Linked DNA regions of Coturnix japonica. The protein of the gene in region 1 interacts with the protein of each later gene in a pairwise test. Links are inferred from orthologs where the notes say so. Each region holds a gene or a part of one and is shown on either strand. Other genes may lie near its edges. The genes, in order: CEP76, PARD6B and AKAP7.

Region 1 (5,672 bases):
CACAAAGGAGGAAAAGGGGGAACTGAAGATGCGGTTCCAGGAGAACACACTGATTTTATTGCTTCTGCATTCATGGGTTTCCACTTAGACTCATCCTGTAGGTCAAACACACAGACCTCCACTGCATCAGTGGGCTGACAGTTTCCATAGAACTTCTGATGGTTGAAGACACAACCTATCGTGCGATAAGGATACAACGGCTTGGGCTGTTCAACTATTGGAGGGTCATCGGGGTTGATAGGTCTGTGGATGTACCTGATGAAAGACATCCAATTTTTTATTAACACACTTGGTATCTTAAGGCAGGCTACAAAGTACTTCAGTAGGACAGAAGTAAATCATTTCTCCTTTTAAAAACATAACCTAAATTTTTTACCATTGCAATTACATTTTGCAACAACACATTAGTACAGCTTCCACATTATAAAATACAAAATCACAAGGTTGGAAAGGACCTATAAGATCATCTAGTCCAACCGTCCTCCCTTTACCATACCTAGAGAAAAACCCTCTGCGGGTTGGAAGGGACCTTAGAGATCATCGAGTCCAACCCCTGGGATTCGAGCCTCCTGTGTAGCAGAGCGGCACTTCTACCACTTGTGCCACAGGGGGGATTCGAACCCAGGCCTACCGGTGTTGCAAAGCAGTGTTCCACACAACCATCAGTTGCCCCAAGAGGCAAAAAAGTTACTATCCTGCTTAAAACCACTGAAAAGCACATTATGAAATACTTCACCTCACGCTCAAGCAGTTATCCTAAAAACAAAAGTATACAGAGCAAAGATGCACAGACAAAAGTCTCCTGGATATTTGATTAAATGACAAGACAGGGAAATGAATATGACAAAGAAACAAGACAAAACCAACAAGCACACACACACAAACACACACACACACACACACACACACACACACACAAACCCACCAGAAGAACTACACAAATCTCAATAGGTACTGCTTAGTTTTCTTATTTGCTTTTTACTCACCTATGTCCCGTTAAGCTCTCCCAAAAAGTAATTGTTCCATCGGTTCCACAGGTCATTACCCAAGCGTGAGGGATTCCTTTTGCTTTTGTTCCTACACACACAAAGGCTTCCAATCCATAGCCAAGAAGAAGACTGCACAGAAGGTTGGCATGATCTTCACAGTCACCCTAGACAGTAAATGTTTGTATGTTGGTTTGACTATCAGGCATAGCTAAAAACATTAGAAAAAGAAAGCAGTATTTCTCCAGTTGTTATCTAACAAGTCGCGTTTCCCTCCTATTTACCTAAAACATGCACCAGAAGTCAGGACTTCAAGGTTACAAACTTAAGAATCTTGAATTCCTCTTTTTAATATGCACCATATCAAAGTATATCAGGCTTTTACAACTTCCAATGGAGTTATTGTTCTTCACAGAGGCTCATATGGTGCTGCATTTTGGATTTTTTATGAGAACAGTGCTGACAGCACACCATTGCAGGTGCTGCAGAGCAGCGTTTACACAGACACAAGGATATTTCAGTTCTTCATGCTGCCTTGCCCATAAAGGGCTGTGGTACACAAGGAACTGAGAGGACAGAAACAGGATAACAGCTGATCCAGACCACCCAAAGGATGTCCCATGTCACATGTCATAGCGCTCAGCAACATAAGCTGGGTTGAAGGAGGAAAAGGGGATGTTTGTGATGATGGCTTTTATTTTTCCCCCCTTAAGGAACCATTACACATGATGTCCAATGGATTCATTGAAAAAAGGATTCAAGCAACAGCACTGAATAAAGTAAGTCAGCTCCAAAGCCCTCTTGTCTAATACTTAACATCTGCCACTATTTGATCTTATAAAAGCTATTTGCATTTATGAGTTCTCTGAAATGGATTCAGTCCACCTTTTGCAACCTGTTTTAAATGACTAACTTCATTCCAACTATAAAAGTTGTCATGCAAAGACTGTTTTTACATACCTTGTTTCTACATACGAATGCAAGAAGTGTGCACCACTGCTCTTGTTTGCCACCACCTCCTCCGATGACAGGAGCTCTTTCATAACCCAGGACACTGACAAATCGTGCTGCTTGTCTAGGTGTGTCTAGCAACCGGCCCGCTCGAAGTGGTCTGATATATGAACATACCGGACGGTTTACTCCATTTTCATCCTGAACGTGGTAAAGAAATAATAGTACTATTAAAACTTCCTAAAGCAATCCATTATCTACTGTTAGTTTCCAGTGAAGCTTCCATTCCGGCTGCACCAGGTGTGTTCAGCAGTGAGATGAATGCACCACACCCTTACGTGGAAGCTGACACTACTCCCGTACACAGCTGGTGAAGCCAGAAGAGAAGACCTCACTTCCCTGAAGACAAACAGCAGGTGTGGATTGCTTCCGGAAGTTATTTCATCATCTGTGCCAGGAAAATTGCTGCTCTACAAGTTAAATTCATATATTAGCATGATAAACACAAAGCATCACAGAATGGCCCAGGTTGGAAGGGACCTCAAGGATCAAGAATCTCCAAATCTCCTGCCACAGGCAGGGCCACCAACCTTGCCATTTAATAGTAGACCAGGTTGCCCAGGGCCCCATCCAACCTGGCCTTGGACACCTCCAGGGATGGGGCATCAGCAGCCTCTCTGGGCAGCCTGTTCCAGCACCTCACAACTCTCAAAGAACTTCCCCCTGACATCCAGCCTAAATCTTCCCTCCCTCAACTTGAAACCATTTCCCCTTGGCTGTCTGTTATCTACCCTTTCAAAGGCTTGACTCTCCTCCTGTTTGTAGGCTCCCTTTAAGTACTGAAAGGCTGCAATGAGGTCACCCTGCAGCCTTCTTTTCTCCAGGCTGAACAAGCCCAGCTCCCTCAGCCTGTCCTTATAGTCCCATACCATTCCTACTACTGAGGGGCAGTCACCAAGGAACAACTGATGTGATTGTGACGTAAGTTACAACACAGTAACTTACTAGCCAATGATTTGTTCACATCTGTAACTACCATGCAACATTCACCAGCCAGATTACTTTATTAACCACAGAGTGCTCAAATATTATATGGATCTGCTCCAGTATATCCAGTAACTCCACTACTTATTACTGTATAAAACCTGTCTGCAATAGTTTGTATAGATCACTTAAGCATTTGCCATTTGTACTTATTCAAGGAAAAGACTAAAATGGCTTTTCTACCTCCTACACCAGGGGTGCTTGGAGCAGCCTTTCTCTATGAAACATACTCTTCAGCTTCAGTATACATAGTTCAAGTCTTGAAAACTTCATTGTCAGCATACTGTATCACATGTAGCCCTGAATGGAATCTAACCACATCATAAATCTATACAAATTCTACATACACAAACTTCAAACATGCAGCTAAGACTAAAAAAAACACCTTGAAGAACAGATTGGTGTATTTGTAAAATATACAAACCTGTGCAAAAATCTTTACCAGCCTTGAGTTGTGTGTAGGCCTGATCTGCAGGTATTCTCTCCACCACTGTTTAGCATACACAAGAAATAAACGTTCTTTTTCTGCTGTCTTCTGACGTTCCAAAGTAAACTACAGGTAGGAAAATACACACAACCATTCACACATATAATAATTCCAAACAAGAACAAAAAGTAATCAATATACATACTAGCACATGATCCTTGCATATGAAAAATGAAGTTTAATATGACAGCATGCAACCAATGCTAAAGAATAGTATTTTAAAGTGAAAATCCAATGAATGTAAAACTCAATTTACATTTCTTGTTTGTAGGCTGATATATCAAGCTTGACTGAAGTAGTGTTCATCTTCAGTGACGCATATCTGTATAGAAGGACTACTCACCTTGCTAAGTGTGGAATAATATCTGTAACACCTTTGGGCCACCATTTACTGGCTTTTCAAGTAGAGTAACCGACCCTTTATCTACATAAATAACTGTACAGTGTGCATCCCCCCTGCTGATAAAAGAACAGGCCATCCCTCACCCCCTACATATTACTTACCTGAGTGCTTGTTATTTCTGGAGACAGAGTCTTAGTAAGTGGTGGATACATTTCAAGTCTGATGTTCAAAACACCGACAGAAACCTTTGATTCTGTACCTTTGAACCAAAATACATTCCTATCAGTCCTTTCAAATTCATTTGACACAGAACAAATAATAGTTTTAATCATACCATCATAAAAATAAAACCCCATAAACTTCTCTAAGTACATACAACACAAAGATCTTCACTGAAATATTCTACTCAAGAATGAAAGGAATGATAACCTGGCTAAAGAAGCTGGTAACTGGATCTGAGCCCTAAGGGCCTCTTTCCAGGTGATACCAGAACATACAAGATGAATGCTGTTCTGTAAGGGCTAGAATAGGCACCTACAAATAGACTGGAAGAGCCACAGTGTACAAGTGCCCATTGTTACTGAATGTACAACTCACTGCTCAGATCACTGTGGTTAGAGCAGGATCATAACTGCTACACAGGACAAGCTAGATTTTACACTTGAGAACACTGACACGGTATTTTTCCTGGAGACGCATTTGTTGATTTATGTTTGTTTTGATAGTTTACCCACATCCTGGAGATAACAGAGGCTCCCAGGTACAGGGACCACTATTGCACAGGATCTGGAACACACATTCTTAACACTTTGATAAGACAAAAATCTGACCATTAGTCCTTTATATAAACTCTTCTTAAGGATACCTTAAAGTAATTCATGAGTTGATACCTTAAAGTAATTCATGAGTTGATTAGCTGAACTGAAATCAAACCAAACCATAAATACTACTTTAAGCTTCTAATCAAACTTAGTACGCAATACTTTAACTCATCGTTAAATGCTCATTAGTTATTCTTACCTACACCCAGGAGTTCAACAGCAACATTTGTGATGCCATTCTCTGCAGCCAGGACAGATCGCCACTCCAAGAAATAGGACGCTACCAGCGTTGTCTCACCAAACGTGTCTGTTTTGATCAGAACCATATGCACTGGATCACATACAGATAACATAGTTGTTGCATCCACCATTTTACTTCCATCACCTGCCAGAAATAAAGCAACATTAAATAGCCAGAATATCACCCCAAGTCCTCCTTAAAATAATACTACTTTTTAGGTAAATAACTGCACTCTTGAAAACATGGAATGCTTCAGGTCTATTTATTATACACCACTATTGATTCCAGAATTCTTCTCATAACATTCATCTGCCACCACATTTCCTGGCTACCAACGGCAGAAAGGCAATAGAGGCGACAGATAACCGTGGAAGTCAGTCATCGAACAACTCATAGCAAACTGAGCTCAAAGTAAAGTTTTTCCTTCTGCATGGTGACAAATTGCTATCCACCTTCACGAGAATGCTCAAGGTTGGAAGGGACCTATGGAGGTCAGCTGGCCTAACCCCTGCTCAAGAAGGAACACCCAAAGCCCAGGACCATGGCAGTAACTTCAGAGTAGAAAAGACAAGGTAAGAATAGAGAAGGATCTAGAAGTGAAATCTAATAGTCATCAATTTCCCTACAAAAAATTTTAGTAATAAATAGGAAAGAAACACACTACATAATTTCAGACCTGTTTTGGAATAACTATAAAGTCAAAAAGAAATCCAGTGAAACAAAGCAAAATGATTTAGTGTAGGGTTTTTAGAGTTAGGGTTCTGGTTAGGCTGTGGTTGGACTTGATGATCTTCAAGGT
Region 2 (6,210 bases), on another chromosome or scaffold:
GTTCATGGAGTTACAGATCAGGAGGGAATGACCAAGTAGCTGCCAGAGCTCTGAAGGAACAGGGGCAGAGGCTGAACTCACACAGCTTCAGTATTTCCAGATGTGACATACATGGAAGAGCTGAACTCCTCCCCTCGGCTTGCTCTTCTCTGTTTTCACTTATTACCGCTGCATCGGTGCTGTTTGGTTAATGAACAGTGACGGCTCTATTATATTATTGTATAAACGTCTGTCTGGGTAGGCTCTGTAAGTTCACAGTGGGTTTGACTTGTCCATGAATGCGTGCAAAAAATAAACTCAGAAGAACAAGCCAACAATACACTGAACTGTCTAAATACAACGACTGCTAACCTCGTTTTATGATTTCAGCAATAAATCTATGAAATACTAAAATATTACAAACTAAACCCGGCACAGCGCCCCCTGCTGGGCACCGCCGGAACAGCCCGGGGCCACTCAGCCTGCAATTAATAATTCAATAGTAATAAATTATAATGAACTGTTTTATGAGGCGCTGTCATTCTTTTTGCGATTGGCTGCAGATATCATTTGGTAAATTAATAAATGTTCTCGCAATGGAAAAATCACAGATCCTGCCTTCGGTTCTTCAGCCATCCCTGCCACAGCACTTTGACTGGGCCCTGGGTCCACACTGAGGGCACAGACTCGTTTTGAGCAGGTCCGAAAGCAGCCGGATGGTTGGGAGCTCGGGAACAGCTCCATGCTGAGATACTGAAATGGGCTGCCCAGAGAGGGGCTGGGTGGGTGCTCCGTCCCACTCAGGGCCAGGCTGGACCACGCTCTGAGCAACCTGATCAAGCTGCAGGCGTCCCTGCTCACTGCAGGGGAGTTGCACTGGATGGCTTCAAGAGTCCTCTGCAACTCAGATGGTAACACAGTTCTATGGACCTGAAAGAGCATCCGGGACAGCAGTAGCCAGGGACTTCTCTGCAGTGAAACAGAATGTCCCCCTGATCCAGGGATTACAAAACCCAACCTGTCTTTCAACTTCACAGAAGCTGAAACTGGTTGTGCCATGAATAGTCATGATCAAGTCACAGGTTTGTAGACTCTGTGACTAAAATAGCTCTTCAAACTTGTGCTGCTCCCGGCCTCTCACTGTATCTTGATCTGAAATCAAGCTGTTTATTGCATTCCTTCCTCATACGTCAGCTCCCAGTGATGAGAGCATGCCAGTGATTAATACTCTTTATTAGGTCAGTTCCAGAGACTTGAAATGAATTTGCCCTGAGTCCTGAAGCACGTTACCACACCCACAGTGTGGAACTCCAGCCATCCTAGGAATGCAAGATAGAAAAAAATCCTTATCTGAGGTGAGACTCCAGAAATGTTCCACAGTAAAATCGGCTGCAGGCACAGATCAGCTCCAGGAAGTTCTTCCAAGGAAAACGGCAACTGACTGCTTTAAAAACCTGGCAGAGGTTTGCAAGGGGCTCTTGACTTCAATAAGCCGACTCACACGCTTTCTTCCTCCCTCTACATACTAAACTCTGTAAATGAAAAATCCTTTTTCTTCAGATTTTAGGCATGACACGGTCCCCATGTTAAGGTCTGCCGGTACCTCCCCAAGGTCACTATGTGGACGGTTACACAATAATGGTTGTTCTATCGCAGTGTAACACACACAAACGACGTCACAGAAAACCCTTCAGGCGTGTCACCAGGTTACGGACGGGGCTTAAAACAGAAAAGTCCAACAACTGCACGGCCAGGACAGGCCTAAAGAGCATGAGAGGGACAGGGAGGGAGCACGGCCTGGGCTGGGGCAGTCACACCCAGCAGGATGCAGTCAGTCATGTTTCAATGTCTCACACACATCCCGCTCCGTACAGTCTCACACATTCGGATCCAGTCATGTTTCTCTCACACCCCGCACACTCGCGGCCTTTCCTTCCCTTCCCTTTCCCGGCGCTGTCCCACTCCTCCCTCACAGATCAGCGCATCGTGCTGCCGGGCCGCGTTCCCTCGCACAGCCCCATGTTTGCACACCAGACCCGCCCGCTGCCGAGCAAAGGTCCCGCGGCTCGTCCCACCCCCGCCCCTACACAGAATCACTCCGTACTTCCTCATCTCCGTGCGGTTCCTCCCCCTCCATCTTGTAGCTCCGCCTCAACCCGGCAGGTGCTCGGTGCCGCCGTCCCGCGCTCAGCGCGCACGGCTCAGTGCGCATGCTCGCGAGCGGCAGGTGCGCGGCCCCGCCCGTGTGCGCATGCGCGGTGCGGCGCTGCCCCGTCCCGCGGTGTGAGGGCGGCAGGTGCCAGGAGCCGCCGGCCCCGCCCGGTGCCGCTGTGTCAGGGCGGCGCCGCGGTGCCAGGAGCGGCTGGAGGCGTGAGGGGCGGGGGGATCCGGGGGGATCCGGGCCGTGAGCGTCCCGCTCTGCCACCCGTGGGCGCCCGGGGCCGAGAGAAAAGAGCAGACGCCGAGCAGCCGGCGGAATGAGTCGGCCTCACCGCGGGCCTGCGGGCAGCCGGGGCCTCGGCACCATGGAGGTGAAGAGCAAGGTAAGCGAGCGGGGAGCGGGCGGCCCGGCCGGAACCGCGGGGAGCCCGGCGGGTCGGGGCTGAATCACGGACTCACTGAGTCACTGAGTCACTCACCTGCGGCAGCGCGGCCTGGGGCGGGAACCGCGCGGCGGGACTGAGCGAGCGACGGGACGGAGGAACCGGGCCCGGTGTGCGCAGCGAGCGGCGGGACGGAGCGGGGCGGGGGTGGGAGCTCGGGGGGGATCGAGGCTAAAGGCGTTCCAGGGTCGGGTCGGGGGTTGTGACGGACGCCGGGCCGTGATCGCTGCCCATCACACCGGGCTGCTCTGCGGGCAGAGTCTGCATGAGAACTTAGTGCCGGCCGAGCTCTCACGAGGCTGTATGTGTATGTGTGTATGTATGTGTATGTATGTACACGCTGTGGCTCCTCCAGCAGCCCTGCTGTCAGATCTCCGCAGGCTCCATGTGTCTATTGGCATTTCTGCATCATTTCTGCATCCATTGCCGTTGGTTTTTTCTCCTGGTTCCCGTAGTTTTGCTGGCAGATGTTCAGTGTTCTGAAACAGATCTTGGGGTTTTTTTTGGCTTACCGTGATCATATTTTGGTACTTTGTCCTTTTGCAGTTAATTACATTTACAACTGTAAATCTTAATATGCGTTAGATGTGAAATCTTAACTGGTGTGAAGCTGCTAAAGAAATGCGTTGTTGTGAAATCCTTTCCATCATCACACCAAACTACACGGCCCTGTGGGGATGTTTTCTTTCATTGGTTTAAAAGAAAAAAAGTCCTTTTGTGCCTCTTTATTTCTAAGCCGCTCGGGTCTGTTTGCTGTTCGTACTCTGCTCCTTCCTGCAATCCAAGCATCCCTTTGCAGTGTAGGAGAGGCAGCCGGGAGCTGGGGATCTTTTTCTTGTCTGTTTTTTAAACACTAGTGTGACAAGTGCTTGTACATGAAAAGCAGTGCTGCGCTTTTGGGACTAGCATGGATGATAATTACTGCTCGTTTTTAACTTAACTGTGATATGGGTGAAGTCACAATGCCAAGGAATACTTGGCTGCCATGATCCCAAATGCTGGTTAAGCACAGCTGTGACTGTGTCAGTGGAGCGTGTTGTTTGTTGTTTTAATCTATGTGCTTGTAGGATTGAAAGCAATCAGAATAACGTGTTTATAAGCAATACTTCTTGCCACAGCTCAAGCCTCCCCTGTAGTGTGCATTGCCTGATTACAAGTATGTCTAGGGATCAGCTGCGTGGTGCCTCCTTTGGCATTCTGCAGAGCAGGTCTAATGAGTTGGGGCTGTCTCTTAGTGTACTATGAAGAATGTATCGAGGCGTTCTCTGAACTACTTGTTGCTAATACATTACTTTCAAGTATCTAGATTTAATGTATCAGAGGAGTCATCTTCCTTCCGTGAAGAAGCTCCAAAAAAGAAAGAAAAGCTGTGTGGGAGGTGGAGGGGAGCATTCCTGTGCAGTGCTGTAAGATTTGAAGGCTTGCCATCAGTGTCCAACGCTGTGTTCAGGTAGTCCAACTCAGTAATCATGCACCGACTGACAAACCCATGCCTGCAAAGCCCATTGTGAGTGGGAATAGTGTTTTCCGATTCTTTGTTTTGTATGGAATGAAATCTAATATACCGATAAGCTCCAGCAAATGTATCTGTCTTATGTTCTGTTATTATTGCTTAAGACTGGTAGTGTAGCAGCGGCATGCAGCATTAGACAGGACATAAAGATGCTTCTCATAAGCGAGTCTTACTCACGTGGGTATCTCAGGTGAATTCCTGGTACATTGCCATAGCTTGTGCTGTGTTTTTCCAGCTGATTCTTCTGATTTTACGTTTCTGTGCTTCATTAAAGTTGCAAATTTTTGTTAGTGCAGAGTGGAATGTGGTGCAACGTTTGATATCAAATGGAAACATTGCATGAGATTAATATAGACAATTATTACATGAGATTAATATGGACAGGGAATTAGTTTAGCTTTTCTACTTTATCAGCTTCGTAGTACTGAGCATGTGGCAAGTTTTGTTAGAGCATAACGTCTGTGGAAATGGTGGGGGGAAAAATTAACTTCACATGCTTGGAAATGTGACCGTTCATATCCTTGCTGCAATCACACCATGTTTGCTTCAAGTTGAGAGTAAGATTGTTGGTGGCGTTCTTTTAAATTCCAGTGTTACTTAACCGTTCAAACTATGTTGTCTTTCAAAACCAAACAACTGCAGATTGATACAATGCTTGGAGAGTTTCCATAGCGCTCATACTTGAAATAGCTGCAGCAGGGTTCAGCAGGAACTCGGTCACGTTCCATCACTGACATCACACTTCAGCTGCCTCTGACGTGGAGGAAGCTCCTCCTGCAGGCTGTTGTTTGCTTTGTGTGAGTCATCTCTTCTGACTTAAAGTGACTGAAATAGGAATATTTCTAGAGTGCCCCCAGAGAATTCCATTATTTGAGAACTTTGAAGATGAGGTGTTAATAGTGTGTAGGCTGTTCTGCTGTGCCTGTTTGAGTCTGGGCGGTGTTAATGTGCTAACAATAGGGTCCTTGTCTCCTTATTTTCGTGCCTTGGTATGTGAGAATTCTAAGGCCTCTATTCTCTAGAGCTGTTTTAATCAGTGGTGAGGTAAGGGTTGCTCTGAGGCCTGGTAATTTACACCTCCCCACCTGCTGTGTGTAACACCTACCCCACCATGTGATACTGAGACTGGAACTCCTGGCAGCGTTTCATTCAGTGTGCCCTCGCCTTCTTAAAATTGAGCCAGGTAAAGGAATAGTTTGAAGTGATGTTCATTGTCCATCAGTGACAGGATTGACAAAAATGCCACCAATTGGCTGCTCTGTATTTTGTAGTGAGGAGCTTATTGTCCTTCTAATTCTTCTACAAGCTGGAATCTTTCAGAAGCAGAGGCAAATCTTCTGAATGTTCTTGAGGGGCGGCTGGTTGCTCCCTTTTATTTCCTTCCTCCAGAAAGAAGCAGAATTGATATAAGAGCATCTCGTGAAAGTTTTACTGCACGGTTTGTACTGAACATCACCAGCTATTCTTTGTATCCATTGGGTCAAAGTGGCTTTTCATTTCTGTTCAGAACAACTAGGAATATGAGCAGTTCTGTCTTGCATATGTTAACCATAGCTCTGTATTAATGCATATGTGCCATTCTAAAGCTCTCTGTGACTTCTTTGAAGAATTGCAGGTCGCCACGTGCCATAAAAAGTCGGTTGTTCTCCTTTCTGTTCTTGAGCAGCCACCATCAGTGCTGGGCATCAGTTCTCCCCCTCACCCAGAATGTCTCTTACTTCATAAATAAATGTCTGAGAATCTGCAATTATTCTGGCACTAGTTTGTCACCCTAATGCCACGTTCCTGTGTTAGTGAGTGCTTTGATGTACATGGATGGAAACAACTTGTGAAAACTTTGGGGAGGAAAAAATACCACAATGCAAATAGGAGTTTTATGCCTCTACAGAATTGCTGTTTGTAGTTCTTAGTGCACTCTTAATTGCAAAACATTCAGAATATTTTTGTGCTTCAATTGTGTGTTAGCTTTCCATGTTAATAGGATGTATTTTGTTGTAGTTTGGAGCAGAATTTCGGCGGTTCTCTTTGGAGAGGTCCAAACCCGGGAAGTTTGAGGAGTTCTATGGATTGTTGCAGCATGTGCACAAGATTCCCAACGTCGATGTTCTCGTGGGA
Region 3 (5,672 bases), on another chromosome or scaffold:
TATTCTAAACAGCAGTAAGTAACTTAGTTTTGCTTACTGAACCCTACTGGGAAGTAGCTTTAAAAATTTAACAGCTTATTGCAATTATAATCAAGACTGAAAGACCCTCAAGGATTAATCTAGCCAGTACTAACATACCAGGTGACAGATAACTTTTATCAGAATCTTGGTACAATAATAATCTTTTTTTTTTTTTAAATTAAAAATACAAATTCAATGTAAATCCAAAATGAATGGAATGCCACAGTTTGCTTCTAAAGATTTAAGGCACAATTAAAATGAAAGCAAGGAAAATGTTAAACTTCCGAGAAGAACTGTTCCTTAAGTGTTTCAGAAATATCCCTTACTACAAAGTGGTTCTTTGTGTAAAGCTCAAAATACTACATAAGATATGAAAAAAGAGCAATTCTGCCTAAAACACTTGACTGGAATTAAATTAGATCCTCACAAAAGGAAGACCTCTGATTGCTAACTGAAATACTACTAGTAATTACCTGCCAGCTATCAAGAAACCAGATGTCTTAAGTCTGTATTTTGGCTACTGTTGCCTAAATGAATTCCAACATGTGTTTTCTACTTTGATAACAACTCTACATCTGAGGCAAGTGTTAACAAAACTTTCTAGCAGAATCTTGGAATTCCTAAATGTTCTGAGATTTAATACATTTGTCGCATTACCTCCATAAATGAAAGATCAAATACACAGAAAAAAAGCACATTTAGTTAAGATTTTTCCACTCCATCAGTAATTCAGTGTAACAACTGCGAGCAGTAATTCTCAATTATCAGATTATATAACTCCTACATTAATTGTTGCTGTTAAATCGTGGAAGAGACAGGACAAAAAGATATTTCAGAGCAGGATGGCATAAAAGATCACCAGCAGTTGTGTCGGGCTATCCTAAAACTATCCTGAGAAGGGAGAGTTCTGCCATCTCTCCTTCACACAGCATTTTCTGAAGAATCAAAGACTGCACTGTCATTTCCAAAACTAGCTTACATTATTTGCATTGCAGGTTCTCTGCATTTTTGACTTTCACTGAACACACATATTACGGATGCAGAATGAGTTAAAATTCACCTGGGAGCTAGGTTACTGTTAGGTTAAACACGTGCTAATTGCAGGAGAATAAGTTTTGAAGACTTTGCTGCATTTCCACTTCAATTGCATCTCACTTAAACAGTAGCTTATTGGAATTTAAACAAGGTGATCAATTTTATGGGAAACTTATAAAACTTCAAAACATAAAGTTAAAACAGCGACGGATCCACATTTAAAATCTTGTGCATAGGGAGAGCTAGAAATCCTGCAGTGGTTTTCCTATTAACAGGAACGTCTCTCTTCCTTATTCCATTTGAATGGTAGGAATGCCGTGTTGCAACACCGGAGGCCCGGGTTCGAATCCCCCCTGTGGCGCAAGTGGTAGAAGTGCCGCTCTGCTACACAGGAGGCTCGAATCCTGGGGATTGGACTCAATGATCTCTAAGGTCCCTTCCAACCCGCACGAGACTGTGAGACAAAATAAGCAACACTGAAACAGTGCAGAGGGAGAAATTAAGTTTCAATCAAAATAATTTGAATTCCATAAGAGAGAATAAAAAGATAACCTTTCTCCAGTCTTTCCCAGGTGAGTAATTTTATTCACAAAGATGTTAGTTTAAAAAGTTAAGTGACAGAATAGGCTGCTAATGTTCTTCTAAAAATACCTGGAAAAATGAGCTTGCTCAAGCTCAAACACTGCCCTCCTTATAAACACAAGCAGCTGCTGAAGTAACTCTAGTTATACCAAAGTACTGTAATAAAGAATCTCACCTCTGGATTAGTAATTGGAAGAGAAATGAAATAATTTGGCTGATATTGCTTTTTCTTTTTCTTCTTTCTCTCACTGCCTTCTGGAATTTCCTTTCCGGTAGCCCTCTTCCTTTTCTTTTCCATGTTTATTTCAGAGGCTGTATGCACTGTAAAAAAAAAAAGAAAAAGAAAATACTTCCAGCACATAGACAAATCAGAATAAAGATACACTTAATATCATACCCAATAATCCTTAATATCACTTCAGTCAGATGACTGGATAGCATTTTCCCAGGCATGTGATCTGCCCACGCACTGAACTGTCTGACTGGGATCCTATGCCAGCTTCCATTAACATAGCCACGCAAGTGGAGTACCATACTTGAACTAATAGTCTATTCATCCAGGCAGGGTTTATAAGCTGTTAACACACATGCATGGCTTCCAAACTACAGCTGTGTTTCATTGAGCCAAGTTGCTACAGTGGACTAGGCCAGCAAGTGTTCATACCTGACATGTCCATGGGCATGACTTCAGAGCAATTTCCCACATACTGCATTTTACAGTATAAAACAAGATGATAAGCAGGATTATTAAAGGAGAAGGTTGTGGTAGACTAGGAATGGCCAACCTACAGTTCATGGACCAAACCCAGAGAGTTCTTCTGTGTACCACAGATTACTCTTCTCCCAGCTTATTTTGTTTGCAGCCTCTCTCCACTGCCTAATAACAAGTGCATTTCTAGCCACATGCTGGGAATACACATCTGGAAGACAGCTCATAAAAGCCATCGCTTCAGCAGCTCATATATAGTAATGTGAATAGACGTATATGAGACATCTTTATGCTGTAGCTCATTGCTTCAATGAATCACAAAACAAATGTTTAACATGCTCAAGTGTCTGCAAGACTGAGGACTAATCACAGAATCACAGAACTGTAGGGATTGGAAGGGACCTCTAGAGATCATCAAGTCCAACCCCCTGCCAAAGCAGGTTCCCTACACCACGTCACACAGGTAGGCGTCCAGGCGGGTCTTGAATATCTCCAGAGAAGGAGACCCCACCACCCTCTGCAATAAACCTAATAAACCTCTGGACTTGGTTCTGTTTGCAGGGAGACTGTACTCAACAGGCCCAGCCTACCTGTGCATTCCAACAGACAGGATCAGGAACTGTGTGCACAGTATGTTTATGTTGTGACACTATGTCCATTTAAATACACTTACTAGCAAATTCATCTTCAGTATCTATGCCGGCAAATGGCATTTCTGCCATCAGAGAATCTTCTGAATCAGCATGAGGACATGGCTTTTCTTCCTCTCGTGTCCTTTTTTTATTTCCTTCAACAATTTCCTTCTTTTGCTGCATATTTTCCAGCCCATCTGTAATATATTTAAATAACACACTGGGTGTGAGTTTTCAGCATAAACACCTACATGACATTATACATAACCAATGTGCAAAACATAAATCTATCTAGTTCTCAGCAAATAAATAGTGACATAAATCCCTATTAAGAACGCTACTCTTCTTCCTTGACAACATATCAACAAAAACACTTCAACACTTTATGTGAAATAGCATAAAAAGAGAGTCCAGCCTTCTACATTTAATAACTTGTGGTTTGGATCCATTCTAAGCAAATGCAGTTAGAAGCAAAAAGGACAGTTATACTGACTACAAAACAATACAAATCTTCATATATCATGTAAGGCTCACTCTGGATAACAGTAACGGCATGTGAAATTTGGTGCAGATAAACACAAGGAGATTATTTCCAATGTAAACACACTGAAAACGAGGCATGAAGGAGCAGAAAGGGAATCCTACAAATTCACATAAAGCAAAGAGTTCTCAGCTGACTATATCATGCAGGAATGAGATGATTATTCTAGTCCTGCATCTCCCACACAGTGCAATATGTGTATTAAACTACAGCTTAAGAAATGCAAAATCAGTATCTCCTCTAGCAACATGTACACATAGCGAGACATCCAGTAATATCCTCCTGGGACAGCTCCACAATGGGATTACTGTAGTGCAAGAAGCCTTGTGTTAGAATTGCAGTTTATCCCAGGACAGCTCATTATGACAGACAACACACTTTGAAAGCTTCTCTTGTGACCACTGCAGATAGTCCAAATCTGGCCCAAGGGGAAAAACTGGCCTCAAAAGTGCATATGATGTTACTGTGGCATGCAAAGCTCTGCTACATGTGTAAAATCAACAGTATAGAGTCTGGGCTATTGGGATGATAAGCGAAAGAAGAATCTGGTTACATGCTAACTCCAGCCTAAAGTAGGAAGACATAAATCACTATGTTGCCGTGGTCTGACACCTACATTTATGCCAAAGGCTAATATGAATAAACAAACTGGAGTGGCTGCTTGTTCCCTCTGCAGACAATAAAGAACTATATATGACAAAGAGATGTTAAAAGCAACAATAAATTTATTACCTAACACTTAGAGTTAAGCTTACATGCTGGTGATCCACCAGCATACAGAACATAACGTTTTCTCCTTTTAAACAGGTCACAAACTGAAGGACAAGACAAAAACCCATGAGACTGACAAACAAGGCAGAAAAGTTGCCAACAAGATGCAGAAATGCAGAATTAAAAGCAAATGGAGTTTAGTATGGAAGCATCAGCTGCGGAACAAGGATTCACCTAAATCTGAGGGGTGTGTATTGCAGATTACGCCCTCCTTCTGCCCCATAGACACAAAGCACAGTATGTGATGAACAGCAGCAGGTGGGCAGAGCAGGAGCACAGACATTACATCCCTTCCCAAACAACACATGCACTGCTTCTCAGCCCTACATATCAAGATCCCAATCAAAAACTCTATCCCACTTTTTCCTGAATTAAACATTAAGGAAATCACCAACAAAATCCAAGACTTGTATCCTAGTCACTAAAGCAACCTTTCCAAATACCTGGCAAAATGTTAATAATCTGAGACCTATGTAACTAGAAGAGCTTCCACAGCAACTCTTACACCACCAAACTACTGAAGGATAAATTTTATTCTTAACTGCATGAATTTCATATATGAAAAGGGATCTATGCCTTCCCTGTATTTGTCTTAGAGCAGTTACTGATCTATCTGTCATAAAGCAGTTACTGATGCTCATGAACATGAGCCACCTGTTCCTGTGGGAAAAAAAAAAGAAGAAAACAAAACAAGCTACATATGTCTCATAGAGAACACAAAAGCAGGGAAAAACACTCTCATTGTACTCCCTTTTCAGGCCTCCTCTCTCCACACTTAGTTGCAGGAGCAACAGTTTTCCACTCAAGACCCGGACTGTAGGCACTGTTTGCCGTGTATAGTAACAAATAATGATTGGGGTTGAAACTGGATGGGCTTTAAAACCCCATCCAACCCAGTCTGTTCTGTTATTCCACAACTGAATATAACACTGCTGTGGAAATGGATGGCCTTTCTCTCTAGGCTTTGTGAGCCCCTACTACTAGCACAAGCTTCACACGCCCAGAGAATTGTAGAATCATAAAGGTTGGAAACACAAAGATCATCTAGTCTAACCATTGACCCATAACCACCACACCCACTAACCAGGTCTGAAAGTACTCTACATATTTCCTGAACACCTCCAGGAACAGTGACTGCACCACCTCACTGAGCAGCCTGTTCCAGCACCTGACCACTCTTTCAGATAAGAAACATTTCCTAATATCCATCCTGAACCTCCCATGGTGCAACTTGAGGCCATTCTCTCTATTTCTTTTGGTAGTTACATAGGAGAAGAGGCCGACCCTCACCTCACTACAACTTCCCTTCAGATAGTTGTAGAGAGTAATAAGGTCTATACAAGATGATCCAAGGGCTGGAGCACCTCTTCAGTGAAGATAA

What was found.
Region 2: the proteins of CEP76 (region 1) and PARD6B interact in binary tests that used the Homo sapiens proteins (3 or more experiments, as listed by UniProt). The two-hybrid records come from large-scale screens. The link is inferred for Coturnix japonica from reciprocal best matches to the Homo sapiens genes CEP76 and PARD6B.
Region 3: the proteins of CEP76 (region 1) and AKAP7 interact in a two-hybrid assay, tested with the Homo sapiens proteins (3 studies listed by BioGRID). The two-hybrid records come from large-scale screens. The link is inferred for Coturnix japonica from reciprocal best matches to the Homo sapiens genes CEP76 and AKAP7.

The regions. Positions count from the first base shown.
Region 1 is NC_029517.1:87,453,421-87,459,092, reverse strand, and holds part of CEP76 (centrosomal protein of 76 kDa), read right to left. Parts: intron 5,018-5,672; coding exon 4,832-5,017; intron 4,071-4,831; coding exon 3,973-4,070; intron 3,535-3,972; coding exon 3,406-3,534; intron 2,139-3,405; coding exon 1,947-2,138; intron 1,154-1,946; coding exon 987-1,153; intron 256-986; coding exon 1-255. UniProt on the Homo sapiens protein: Centrosomal protein involved in regulation of centriole duplication. Required to limit centriole duplication to once per cell cycle by preventing centriole reduplication.
Region 2 is NC_029535.1:12,091,154-12,097,363, reverse strand, and holds the start of PARD6B (partitioning defective 6 homolog beta), read left to right. Parts: upstream 1-2,302; 5' UTR 2,303-2,456; coding exon 2,457-2,522; intron 2,523-2,618; exon of another isoform or gene 2,619-2,679; intron 2,680-6,093; coding exon 6,094-6,210. UniProt on the Homo sapiens protein: Adapter protein involved in asymmetrical cell division and cell polarization processes. Probably involved in formation of epithelial tight junctions.
Region 3 is NC_029518.1:52,090,238-52,095,909, forward strand, and holds part of AKAP7 (A-kinase anchoring protein 7), read right to left. Parts: intron 3,177-5,672; coding exon 3,021-3,176; intron 1,960-3,020; coding exon 1,814-1,959; intron 1-1,813. UniProt on the Homo sapiens protein: Probably targets cAMP-dependent protein kinase (PKA) to the cellular membrane or cytoskeletal structures.